Linked DNA regions of Rattus norvegicus. The protein of the gene in region 1 interacts with the protein of each later gene in a biochemical or structural test. Links are inferred from orthologs where the notes say so. Each region holds a gene or a part of one and is shown in the gene's direction. Other genes may lie near its edges. The genes, in order: Smad2, Zfyve9 and Ski.

Evidence for each region.
Region 2: the proteins of Smad2 (region 1) and Zfyve9 are reported together in a solved structure, tested with the Homo sapiens proteins (2 studies listed by BioGRID and IntAct, with this or other methods). The link is inferred for Rattus norvegicus from reciprocal best matches to the Homo sapiens genes SMAD2 and ZFYVE9.
Region 3: the proteins of Smad2 (region 1) and Ski form a complex in vitro, tested with the Homo sapiens proteins (4 studies listed by BioGRID). The link is inferred for Rattus norvegicus from reciprocal best matches to the Homo sapiens genes SMAD2 and SKI.

Annotation. Positions count from the first base shown.
Region 1 is NC_086036.1:72,123,946-72,128,220, forward strand, and holds the start of Smad2 (mothers against decapentaplegic homolog 2), read left to right. Parts: upstream 1-1,398; 5' UTR 1,399-1,555; intron 1,556-1,633; exon of another isoform or gene 1,634-1,818; intron 1,819-4,275. UniProt on the Homo sapiens protein: Receptor-regulated SMAD (R-SMAD) that is an intracellular signal transducer and transcriptional modulator activated by TGF-beta (transforming growth factor) and activin type 1 receptor kinases.
Region 2 is NC_086023.1:128,692,339-128,695,916, reverse strand, and holds part of Zfyve9 (zinc finger FYVE domain-containing protein 9), read left to right. Parts: intron 1-494; coding exon 495-2,521; intron 2,522-3,578. UniProt on the Homo sapiens protein: Early endosomal protein that functions to recruit SMAD2/SMAD3 to intracellular membranes and to the TGF-beta receptor.
Region 3 is NC_086023.1:171,062,137-171,066,315, reverse strand, and holds the start of Ski (ski oncogene), read left to right. Parts: upstream 1-1,358; 5' UTR 1,359-2,121; coding exon 2,122-3,090; intron 3,091-3,168; exon of another isoform or gene 3,169-4,143; coding exon of another isoform or gene 4,144-4,179. UniProt on the Homo sapiens protein: May play a role in terminal differentiation of skeletal muscle cells but not in the determination of cells to the myogenic lineage. Functions as a repressor of TGF-beta signaling.

The DNA of each region.
Region 1 (4,275 bases):
GATGACATCTATAACATTTAAGTTTTCATTTATAACATGTGAGTTGGTATTATGATGGCAAAGGCTTTGGATTTGGAGTAGAGCTGCATTTGAAACTATGACTGGCTTGCATCTGGGGCGAGCTACATCTTTCCCATGAGAAGAGTGGTGGAGATTTTGAAAGCCTATCTAAAAACCTGTTAAGTCTGGAGGGAAGGGCAAACAACTCAAGGACCACATAAAGGCCCCTGCTCTGGATGCCCTCACATCTGAGGAGAGAGCATGCTCCACTCCTAACTGCTTCGCACACTGTGTTGTTACTCCTGCACTCCTCTGTCGTGCTCATGAGGCTTGCTGGACTAACTTGCCTCTCCCAGGAATCCTATGAAGAGGTAGCTAAGTATAGATGGGCATGACCAACAGCCAAGCAAACTGCGTTCTGGTATTTTCTTTACCACTAGCAACCTGAAAGAGGCATTTCAAATTTAGGTTTATTATCCTAACACAGTCTTTCATCTGCCAGGGTTGAGTCAAAATCAAACTGCGGGTAGTCCTAAATTTGGGAACTTGGTGAGAAGTACGGGTCTAGGAACAGGGGCACAGTTAGGGACATGAGCTAGGGAGAAGCCAGCAAATCAAGGAGCACTCATAGTTGCTCATGCTTCACAATGAGCATTCGAACCAGCTATCACTAATAGTTCTACTTCAGAAGAACCTACGGCTCGGGTTGGAGAAACACACCCAAGGAGGGGCCCAGCCCTAACACCAACCCCACGGACAAGAACCCTAGCTCCGCAGTTTTCGCCACCCGCCCCCAGGGCGCGGCCCCGCCCACTTATTTGCATAGGGCGCGCCCCTCAGCGGCCAGCACCCTGGCTTCTCCAGAGCTTTGCCAGTCCAGCGACTCAGACCCGGCTGGGGGCGGGCCCAGGCCCGAGCACGTGTCCATTCCGGCCTCACGACGGAGGTGGGCGAGGGCTTAGCCGCGGCGCTCCACCCAGAGGCGCCAGGGCGGGGGTCTGCGGGCGTGGCACGCTGCGCGGCCTTCCGCGATCCTCCCGGAGCCCGGTGGGAGCGCGCCGGACACGAACTCAAGCGCAACCGCGGGCGTGCCACCCAACCCGGCCTCGCCTCGCCTCACGCTCGACGGGGAAGGCGGAACCAATCAGCGAGCGACGTTTCCCTTCCGATTCCAGGCCCCCGACGCGGTGCTCACACCCCGGGCTCCCCGTTCGCTGATTGGTTGCGCGTGCCGCCGGTCGGGCCGGAGGCGGGAGGCGGCGGCCCGCGCCTGCCCGCGCCCCGCTCGGCCCCCGGCCCTGCCCGCGGCGCCCGGCCTCCTTCCGTCCCTGCCGTGCTCCCTCCGTCTTCCGTGCGCGCCCGCTCGGCCGGCGTGCCTCACGCCTAACGGGCGGCCGCGGGCGCCAATCAGCGGGCGGCAGGGTGCCAGCCCGGGGCTGCGCCGGCGAATCGGCGGGGCCCGCGGCTCGGGGAGGGAGGCGGGGCTACCGCGCGCGGCGGTGGAGGAGCAGCTCGCTCGCCTGCAGCTCGCGAGCGCTGAGCGAGCCGCCCGAAGGTAGGTGCGCGGCGGCCGGGGCGGAGGGCGGCGGCGGCGCGGGGTGCAGGCAGTGCCGGGCCGCGGGGCCGCGCCGAGTGGAGCAGGCGGCTCCCTCCCCAGCCGGCCGCGGTGAGCGCGGGCCTGGGGGCGGGGCGGGGGCCCGCGGCGCAGTTCCGCCTGCGCGCGCCCACTCCTCCGGCAGCGCGGAGCCCGTCGGAAGAGGAAGGAACAAAAGGTCCGGGGCCCGGCTCGGACGGGCCGGGACCAGGCGCTGGGTGCAGGTAAAGCCGGGGCGCCCGGGGGACCGGGCAGGGGTGTGCGGGGCCGGGTCACGTGGCTGCCCGTGTGGGGTGTGGCGGGCCGTGGCGCGCGGGCCGGGGTCGGCGCCGTGGGCAGGGCCCCGAGCCCCCGCCCCGCCCAGCCTGGCTGCGGCCCGCTTCTGTCCCGGCTCGCGGCCGCTCTCGCTTTGCGTTGCAGAATGGCTCCGGAGCCGAGTTAGGGGCGTGTGGTACTTTGCTTCTACTTTTTCCTTTTTTTTTTTTTTTTCTTCTTTCCTGTGGCCTTTGTTAACCGTAACAGTCGTGGGTTCCGAATCATAGTGTGCACTCAGAAACACGCTCGTGGCTGAGGCTGCCGGGCTCATCCTCCACGCACTTGGGAAAGTTGCTCCGTGGGTACTGCCTATTAGTTTCTAATCACACGCCTTTAGGAAGCATGCTAATTGAGTGCACTTATTTCAGACTTGGTTTTCACAGTCGGTGCTTGGATTATTTTCTTCTAGGAATACTGTCCTTGGGCCCCAGGTACTTTTGTCCTCTTACCCTTGCAGGTTAGGGTTTCCTTGTGAATCTAAACAAAAGAAAAATAAAAATCGAGGTTGGTTTTGTTATTCATTTCTTTTACACTTAAAGGCAAACGCTACCTGTTTGTTGTCACACCAATTTAAAAACAAAACAAAACATGTGAAATAGTTCAGCAGCATTCCACCTTATTGTTATGCCTTGTTGGGGAATTCTAAACGGCGGTGTTCTTAACTAATGAAATGACATATGTAAATAAATGTAACCTGAAGGTTATCTTTACAAAAATGGCACCCTGGAATGTCAGTTTCCAAAATCTCTTATTTCTAATTCCATGACTTAACCCCATACCGCTAATAGAAAGGATTTTTCTCTTGAGCCTAACACAAATACATTTGCTGCCATGCTGGGAATATCTTTCCTATTAGTTTACTTTGGTTCCTGTAAAAAGCAATTTCCCCCTTTACAAAGAAGTGTTAAGTAGTTAAAACGAAGTTGGAATAGTTTCAATCCATGAGTTAGTGAAGCAGATGGAATCCAGACATGAGAGAAGCAAAATGTATTATAGTTTTAAGGTTTTTATCCCTCTCCCATTTAGTCATAAAGAGATTTTTTTCTAATTCATTAGGTCATTTAGCAAATGTTTATGTTGAATTCATAAAGTAACATCGATGTTATTTTTAAAAATTATTTTGGCATAAACTTACCTGTGGAGGTAAGAGAATTTGTTGTGGTCTTAGGACATTTTTAAACTGAGTGCCCAGGTACATGCTTAATGTTACAAAATAGTTGACTTACCTACGTTTAGGGTCCTCCCTGGCCAGGCTTAATCACTGGACTAGGATTATAAACCTCCTTGTGTTCCTTAGCAAGACACTACTCTAATACTGTTGGTTGCAATTTTGTAGGTACACCTGAAGTGATTTCATATTGAGAGTGTTCTGCAAAATTTGGTCTTTGGGGTTCTGAGGTACTTGTCAGTAAATAGCTATGCACCCTGTGTGGCTCATAAAGTCAGTGTTGGGAGAAACTGCAGAGTAACTTCCCGTTGGGCTTGGTTGTGTGGTTTAACTCATATTAGGACTGTTGGGGATGGTTTTCTGTATAGCCCTTTCCTTTGTGTATACATATAGGATGATGCTGCAGTAGTCAGTACTATCATTAGGGAGGCTGAGTGAACACACAGGCAAACGTAAGTAGTTTAGCTGCATGAACTGGTGCTTAAGGACCTTTTGGGTTTTTAGATTTGACTTGTGGGCCTAACCGTTTCCCTTCGTGCTTGGTTTGGATGCTGTTGGCTGAATACTTTGGACTCCAGAAACCACGTTTGCAGCAGCCTTTTTATCCAGGTGCTTTTGTAATGCATGCAGGAGCTGTATATAGTGTAGTCTGGCAGATGGAGGTTTATTCATATTCTTGGGACAAGAATCCTTTTTAGAGGGTGGAGAGAGGCATATCTTTTTAGATGCTTTGTCTGGGTAAAAGCAGAAGAGACATTTTTAGGCCCTTGGTTTCTGTGAGTGCAAAGAAGTTTTCTACTAAGTATTGCAAAGGTGTATCAGAAACTGACTATAAAGAATTCAGTATCACTTTATTGGACAAGTAATACGTACTTACACAATAAACTTTCTGTGGCTAGTCACAACACTTCTCAGTGGAATTAGGAAAATAAAAATCCTGTGTCTTCTGGCCAAAGGCCCCAAAGTAAGGAGGTTAATTATGTCAGAGCATAAGCTGAGCTTGAGCACTCATAATTCATCCAGAGCCACTTCCTGAAGCTATTTGCATTGCTCTCTGTCAGGTGTAAAGGACGGCACTAGGAGGGACGGATGGGCTGTGTTAGCTCCTATGACACTAAGAACGATGTCCGATGTCCAGGTTGGGGTGGGGGAAATGCCTGGCACTTTTTGCAGTTAATTCAAACTGAAGATGGAGCTA
Region 2 (3,578 bases), on another chromosome or scaffold:
CAATTAAATTGACATAAAATTCATTTGTTGTTTGTTTGTTTTTGTTTTTTTTTTCTTTTTCTTCTTTTTTTCGGAGCTGGGGACCGAACCCAGGGCCTTGTGGTTGCTAGGCAAGCGCTCTACCACTGAGCTAAATCCCCAACCCCATTTGTTTGTTTTTTAAGACAGGATTTCTCTATGTAGCCCTGACTGTCCTGGAGCTCACAGAGATCCCCCTGCCTCTGCCTCCTGAGTGCTGAGGTTAAAGGCGTGCACAACCACTGCCCAACTATGTTATTTGAAATGTTCTGAGGCATTATCATTTGTTGACAGATAATTATAGGGCATTGTCTTAAATGTTTTTTTCTTATGTCTAGCTAAAGATTAGATACTGTCATATTCTGGGGACATTTTCTCCAAAGCATAGTTGGAAATATCTGTCAGGTAACCCTAAGTAGCTTTTTACTGTTACCAGCAAACTTACTGTAATTACTTTTTTTTTTTTTCCCCTTCAGATGAAACAGTTTCTCCTACTTTATTGGATACAAAGTGGAATAAGATTTTAGATTCCTCTTCTCATCCATTGTCTTTTAACCCTGCATTAGCCAATGTGAATGAACCTACAATTTCTAATGAGACAGGACCACAGCGGAAAATCTTTTCTCTTGCTGGCTCAGCTCCCCTTACAAGGGAGGGAAAAGGTCCCTGTGCTAACGGACAGGACGGTAGTCTAAATCCAGAGATTGACACGATGTGGATTGATGAAAATGCTGTGGCAGAAGACCAACTAATTAAGAGAAACTACAATCAGGATGATCAATTTAGTGCCGTTGAAGTGGGAGAGGAGAAACGTGGGAGCCTCACTTGTCTGCCAGACGAGAAGAATGTTCTGGTTGTAGCTGTCATGCATAACTGTGATAAAAGGACACTGCAAAGTGATTTGCAGGATTGTAATAACTATAATAGTCAATCCCTCATGGATTCTTTTAGCTGTTCACTGGATAATGAAACTAGACAAACTGATCAATTTAGTTTTAGTATGAATGGGTCCGCAGAAAAAGGTATAAACTCAGAGAAACAAATGGATGCTTTGAATAAACCAAAATCAGAGAGGGATTCTCTTAATCATCTCTGCGCTGCTTCAGCTAACAGTGCAACCAGTATCTCTTCCTCTTCACAATTAAAGGACAATGAAAATGTAGGTAGAGACCCATCTACATCTACAGCTACAAGCTTAGCAATTAATACATCCCAGGGAATGGATGGAGGGCCTGCCATTAAAAAACAAGAGGATTATATGCCTGATGAGGACCTTTCTGGCGCAAACAGCTCTTCTAGGACAGATCTAGGGAGCTCAAACTCCTTTTCCCACTCAAGGGAGGAGCTCTTAACAAAAACAGAGCCAGCAGAGGAGAGGACAGCTGAAGACCCCCTCCCATCTGGTTTATCTTTGAATCTCAAGCCAGATACTCCTGCTTTATGTGGAAGGGACAATTGCGAACCATCCTCAGACTGCCTTGTGTCTAGTGAGACTAGAACTGATGGAGATGGAGGTAAGGACTCTCAGACGACTCACTGGGACTCAGCAAAGCTAAATGAGGTGGATGATCGCCAAGGAAGTGAAGAAAATCAAGTGGTTTTACAGATCAGCCAACCTGAGGACCCTCAGAGTGCAGGAGAGTGTGTTAGAATGGCAGATTCAGATCTAGATTTCAAAGGAACTTGCTTGAATGAAAGTGAAGGATATGATTTCTCCACTGTTAGTGATGCACCAGCAGCAAATTCTCTGTCTAATAGTTGTGATTCCTATGGAATGCAGAGCCCAATTGTATCTTTTGTTCCAAAGACTTTACCCTCCAAAGAAGATTCAGTAACAGAAGAAAAAGAAATAGAAGAGAGCAAATCAGAATGCTACTCAAATCTTTATGAACAGAGAGGAAATGAGAACACAGAAGGGAATGGACTGCTTTTAAACAGCACTGGAACTATAATGAAGAAAAATTATTTACATAATTTCTGTAGTCAAATCCCATCTGTACTCGGGCAATCTTCCCCCAAGATAGCAAACCTGCAGTCTATTAGTGTTCCTTTTGGTGGTGCAAGACCCAAGCAACCTTCTAATCTTAAACTTCAGATTCCAAAGCCATTATCAGACCATTTACAAAATGACCTTCCTGCAAACAATGGAAATAATAGTAAAAACAAAAATGATATTCTTGGGAAAGCAAAACTAGGGGAAAACTCAGCAGTCAGTGCGTGCAGTGCAACTTTGGGAAACATCTCTGTGACTGATACAAATGGGGAACATTTAGAAAGTTTCGAGGCTGACATCTCCAGTAGACCATGCCTTGCATTATCTCCAGATAGTCCAGATAATGATCTCAGAGCTGGTCAATTTGGAATTTCTGCAAGAAAGCCATTTACCACCCTGGGTGAGGTGGCACCAGTATGGGTACCAGACTCCCAGGCTCCGAACTGCATGAAGTGTGAAGCTCGGTTTACATTCACCAAAAGGAGGCATCATTGCAGAGCATGTGGGAAGGTAAATTGCATTTATCAGTTCAGGAACTTGCCGTGTTTTGTAATGATGAACCAAAAATTAAAGCAGGATTAGGTGACTGTACTTCTAGTTTGAGATGACCTTATAAAAAGCCTTTGAAAGCCCAGTCTTAGTATCTGTATAAAATATGAGCTGATTGTGGGTGTCTTTTTTTTTTTTTTAATTGCTGTCAGAAAGTATGCTGTCTCAGTTTTCTGTGAAGAAAAGAGAATTGAGAATTAAGGAAGTGTTTACTCTGTGGTCTTTACATTTGTAGCTGTTTGTAGATACATGATTAATGGGATGGTTTGAAATAAGGATGTTGTTCTTTCAACTTAGGACATATTTGTGATTTACTTTTTTGTTGTTGTTCTCTATTTTTGTTGTTGTTTTTATATTTTTGAAAAAGGGTATGGCCATATAGCCGTGACTGATCTGGAGGTCCCTTTGTAGAGACCAAGCTATCCTCAAACTTGCATCAGTTCTCCTACTGTTTACTTAGTGTAATGATTACAGACATTACAATCCCTGTGGTCAGTGGTTGATTTTATGATATTTTATAATTAAACATTAACTTACAGTCAAAATTTATCCTACACTCTTTTTTTTAAAAGATATGGTTATTTTTAATGAATGTTCTACCTTCATGTAAGTGTGTATGTGCACCTTGTTTTGCCTGGTGTCCACAGAGCTCAGAGGGAGGCATTCAGTCCCTTGGAACTAGAGTTATAAATGATTGTGAGCCACCATGTGGGTACTGAGAATTGACCCCATCTCCTCTGCAGGATCAGTGAGTGCTCTTAACTGCTGAGCCATCTCACAAGCCTGATCCTGTACTTGTTTTTACATAGAGTTTTTCATGTACCAAATGTTCTGAAGGTTTTTATAAATACATACACATATTTTCTCCTATATGACTTTAATGCAAATATTTAAAGGCTATAGATCTTTATTCTTATTAAAGATATATGAATAATTTAATATTCCTTAGCTCTCTCCAAATTCTGTTAGGAACACAATTTTTTAATACTTATTTGTATTTGTGCGCGCACGCGTGTGT
Region 3 (4,179 bases), on another chromosome or scaffold:
TAATGGCTGGCTCAAGAAGGGTCAATAGCTACTAGGTACAGCTTCTTCAAGGCAGGATTCCGTTCCAAAGTTCCCACCTCACTCAACAGGGTCCAGTAGACAGATGTTGCTGGTACCTATGTCACTGGTGAGAGACTGGATCACAGTTCATGGGGTAGTCCATGTAGCCTGCTTTCCACAGCTGTTTTTCTTTCTTTCTTTCTTTCTTTTTCTTTTCTTTTTTTTCGGAGCTGGGGACCGAACCCAGGGCCTTGCACTTGCTAGGCAAGTGCCACAGCTGTATTTCTTATGCATCTCAGCATCCCCATGTCATGCTGTGAGCTCCTAGGTTCTGCAAATCCTGTGTCGTTCTTGGGTGCAGAATTCTGTATATCAAGTGGTATTCTCTCTACACATGGAAACCCAGAAGTACTTTGTGCAGTCCTTCTGCAATGGAGACCTTGGGTGGTTCTTTGTGAGGTTCTGGTTGTGTAGGCATATGGGGTTTTGTGCCATCTTCTCATCATAGAGTAACCTGGCGTGAGTGTTCTGTGGTGTCCTTTATGTAACCTGGGATGCGCGTTGTGTTCCCCCTATCATATGGAGACAGGGGTGTGTGGAGACCGTAGGGTGCCTCGAGACGTTCTTGTATCAGAACCCGAATGTTTTGTGGCATCCTTGCTATGAGGGAGGGAACCTGGGTTTTGTTCTATGGTGTCCTTGTTACGAATGTCTCGTGGAGCATGACTTCCAGCAGTGGGGGGAGTGAAGGTTACTTCGGAGTGTCTCCGTAGAATGGGGACCCCGGGATGAAGGGCGGCAGCGGAGATCTGCTGCGGACCGCCACTCAGCTGGCCTGTGGTTGTGGCGGGGGCCTTGTGGGTTTCGGGGGGCCCCCAAGACCGTGGTGGCAGCAGGACCGGAGTCTTCCCAGCCGCGCAGGAAGCGGCCTCGGCCGGAAGGGGGGCCCCAGGCGCCTCCGCTGTGGCCGCCTCCAGTGGCCTCCACAAGGCGGGGCCGAGTAGGACCGAGTAGGGCCGAGCGGGGCCGAGCCCGGACCGAGTAGGGCCGAGCAGGGCCGAGCAGTGCCGAGAGGGGCCGAGCTACGGGACGGGGAACCCGAGCGGAGTCGACCTGTGGGCGGACAAAGCCGAGCTTGGCCGAGTTCGGTCCGGGCGTAGCCGAATGCCACTGAGCCCGGGAGGGGGAGCGCGCGTTCTTGGAAGAGCCTGCCCAGAGCTGGTCACATTCCTGGCCCGCACTCCGGCTGAGGCGGACGCACAGCAACAAACAACGCGGGAGGCGGGGCTGGCGCGGGCGGGGCGGGGCGGTACGGGGCGGGGCGGCGCGCGGCGGCGTGAGCTCAGCTCCGGGCGCTCAGTCCGAGCCGGAGCGAGCCGCCGGAAAGATGTGCGCTGAGCGCGCAAAACCCCGCGCCGCCGCGGCGCTCTGAGGCCGCGGGCCAGAGGCGCCTCCGCCGTCCGGGAGCCGCGCGCGCGGGCCAGCGGACGGCCGGGAGCCGGCAGGCGGCCGCGCGGGCGGGCAGGCCGCCAGGGGCCGGCGGCGGGCGCGACGCGGCCGGTCAGCACCGCCGGGACGAGCCGAGCGGGCGCCGCGCGGTGGGAGGAGCGGGGCAGCGGCGGCGCGCCGCGCGAGGACGGCCCGGCGGGCCCCGCGCCCGCGCCCCCGCTCCTCCCGGGCCCCTCGGCCTCGGCTGCCGCGGCGATTCGCGCCTCGCGGCGCCGGCACCTGCCCGCGCGCCCCCCGCGAGCCCCGGGCCCGCGAGCGTTGGCGTTGGCGTTGGCGGCGCGCGCCGGGGCATGCCCGGCGCCTAGAGCCCGGGGGGCGCGCGGGGGGCGCGCGGGGGGCCCGGGCGGCGGCGGGCGCGGCGCGGGGCGCGTGGATGTGGCGCCGGGCCCGGGCGGCGGCGGGCTCCAGCGGCGGGACCCCTTCGCCCCGCCCGCCTTCGCCTTCGCGCCCCCGGGAGAGGCCGAGGCCGGGGCCGTGATCGGCCGTGAGCCGGCGACGGGGGGCGGTCGTGGCCGCGGTCGCGGGCGGCGGCGGGGTGCGCGGGGCGGCGGCGGAGGCCGTGGGGGCCCGGGCGCACGGGAGCGGGAGCGGCCGGGGGAGCCCGATCGCACCATGGAAGCTGCAGCGGCCGGCCGGGGCGGCTTCCAGCCGCACCCGGGGCTGCAGAAGACGCTGGAGCAGTTCCACCTGAGCTCCATGAGCTCGCTGGGCGGCCCGGCCGCTTTCTCGGCGCGCTGGGCGCAGGAGGCCTACAAGAAGGAGAGCGCCAAGGAGGCGGGTGCGGCCACAGTGCCGGCGCCGGTGCCCACTGCCGCGGAGCCGCCGCCCGTGCTGCACCTGCCTGCCATCCAGCCGCCGCCGCCCGTGCTTCCCGGGCCCTTCTTCATGCCGTCGGACCGCTCCACCGAGCGCTGTGAGACCGTGCTGGAAGGGGAAACCATCTCTTGTTTCGTGGTGGGAGGCGAGAAGCGTCTGTGCCTGCCGCAGATCCTCAACTCGGTGCTGCGCGACTTCTCACTGCAGCAGATCAACTCGGTGTGCGATGAGCTGCACATCTACTGCTCGCGCTGCACCGCCGACCAGCTGGAGATCCTCAAAGTCATGGGCATCCTGCCCTTCTCCGCGCCCTCCTGCGGTCTCATCACCAAGACGGACGCGGAGCGCCTGTGCAACGCGCTGCTCTACGGCGGCGCCTACCCGCCGCCTTGCAAGAAGGAGTTGGCGGCCAGCCTGGCGCTGGGCCTGGAGCTCAGCGAACGCAGCGTCCGCGTGTACCACGAGTGCTTCGGCAAGTGCAAAGGGCTGCTGGTGCCCGAGCTGTACAGCAGTCCTAGCGCCGCCTGCATCCAGTGCCTCGACTGCCGCCTCATGTACCCGCCGCACAAGTTCGTTGTACACTCGCACAAGGCCCTGGAGAACCGGACCTGCCACTGGGGCTTCGACTCAGCCAACTGGCGGGCCTACATCCTGCTGAGCCAGGACTACACGGGCAAGGAGGAGCAGGCCCGCCTTGGCCGCTGCCTGGACGACGTGAAGGAGAAGTTCGACTATGCCAACAAGTACAAGCGGAGGGTGCCCCGGGTAAGTGTCTCCGGGTCTTGGGAGTTGGCAAGCTATGCCCAAGGTGGGTGGGTGGGTGGGGTCCTTCTGCTCTGGGGACTGTGGGTTGTAAAGGCTTGGGGCTCATGGTTCGACCTTATCTGGCTTTGGGTTGTTTTGATTTCGGAAAGTAGGGGTCTCATCAGTTTCTTGTGGGAAAGGCCATGAGGCCACCTTCGTGCTGTCTGTTGAGCTGCACCTATGGAGTAGAGTGAACGGGAAAGCCCTCTGAGGGCTCATAGTCCTCGACCGTACAGGTTAAGTAAGCTCTGAAGGTCTGAGAAAGAGGCCACCTTAAGCTCTGGGAGGTTAGAGTACCTGGACTCTAGAGGCTGTGACTTTCTGGCCCATATCTCCATGGGACCTTGGCAGAGATGTCCCCATGAGAATGAAGTTTGCCCCCTTTCTCTCTGACTGATGACCGGGAGGGATGCCTTCCTGTGAGCCTCAGCTGACTATCCATACATATTTACTGCCTCTCCGGTTTTGTCTTTAAATCGTGGGGCAGGGACAGCTAAAGTGAAGCAAGCCAGTTGTCTTGGCAGAGACCTGGCACTTGCAACCCCCGAGTTGTGCTCGGCCGAGGCTACTTTGTCGTGGTCAGTGGCCTGGCCTGCGGGAGTTGCTGATGGTCTGCAGTTTACTTGGACTCACCCATTTCCTTCTGTTGCTCTTCTTGCTCGGTGTGGAGGCCTGTCAGCCCAGGCTGTGTTGTATGTGAGTCAAAGAAAGCTTTGTGAGATCTGCCTGGGCATTTCCTGGGCCACTTGGTACCTAAATCATTCACTGGAGTCCACAGGAAGTTTCTTTGCATATGCATCCTAAGTGTCTTTAACTTTTAAATATCCAGGCTTATTAAATTGCACACACAGAATGTTGCATTGGCTCAGCTATTCTTGGGAGACCTAATTAATTCAGCTATTGCATCAAACTTTTTTTTTTTCTAAATCTGTGAATAGATGCTGCAGCCCGGTTTTCTCTGGGCGCCCCTCCAGCAGAGTGTCAGAGTTGTGGGGGGAGGGGCTCTGAAGAAGGATGGTCGCCTCATTCTCTGGGGGCTGCAGAGGGAGT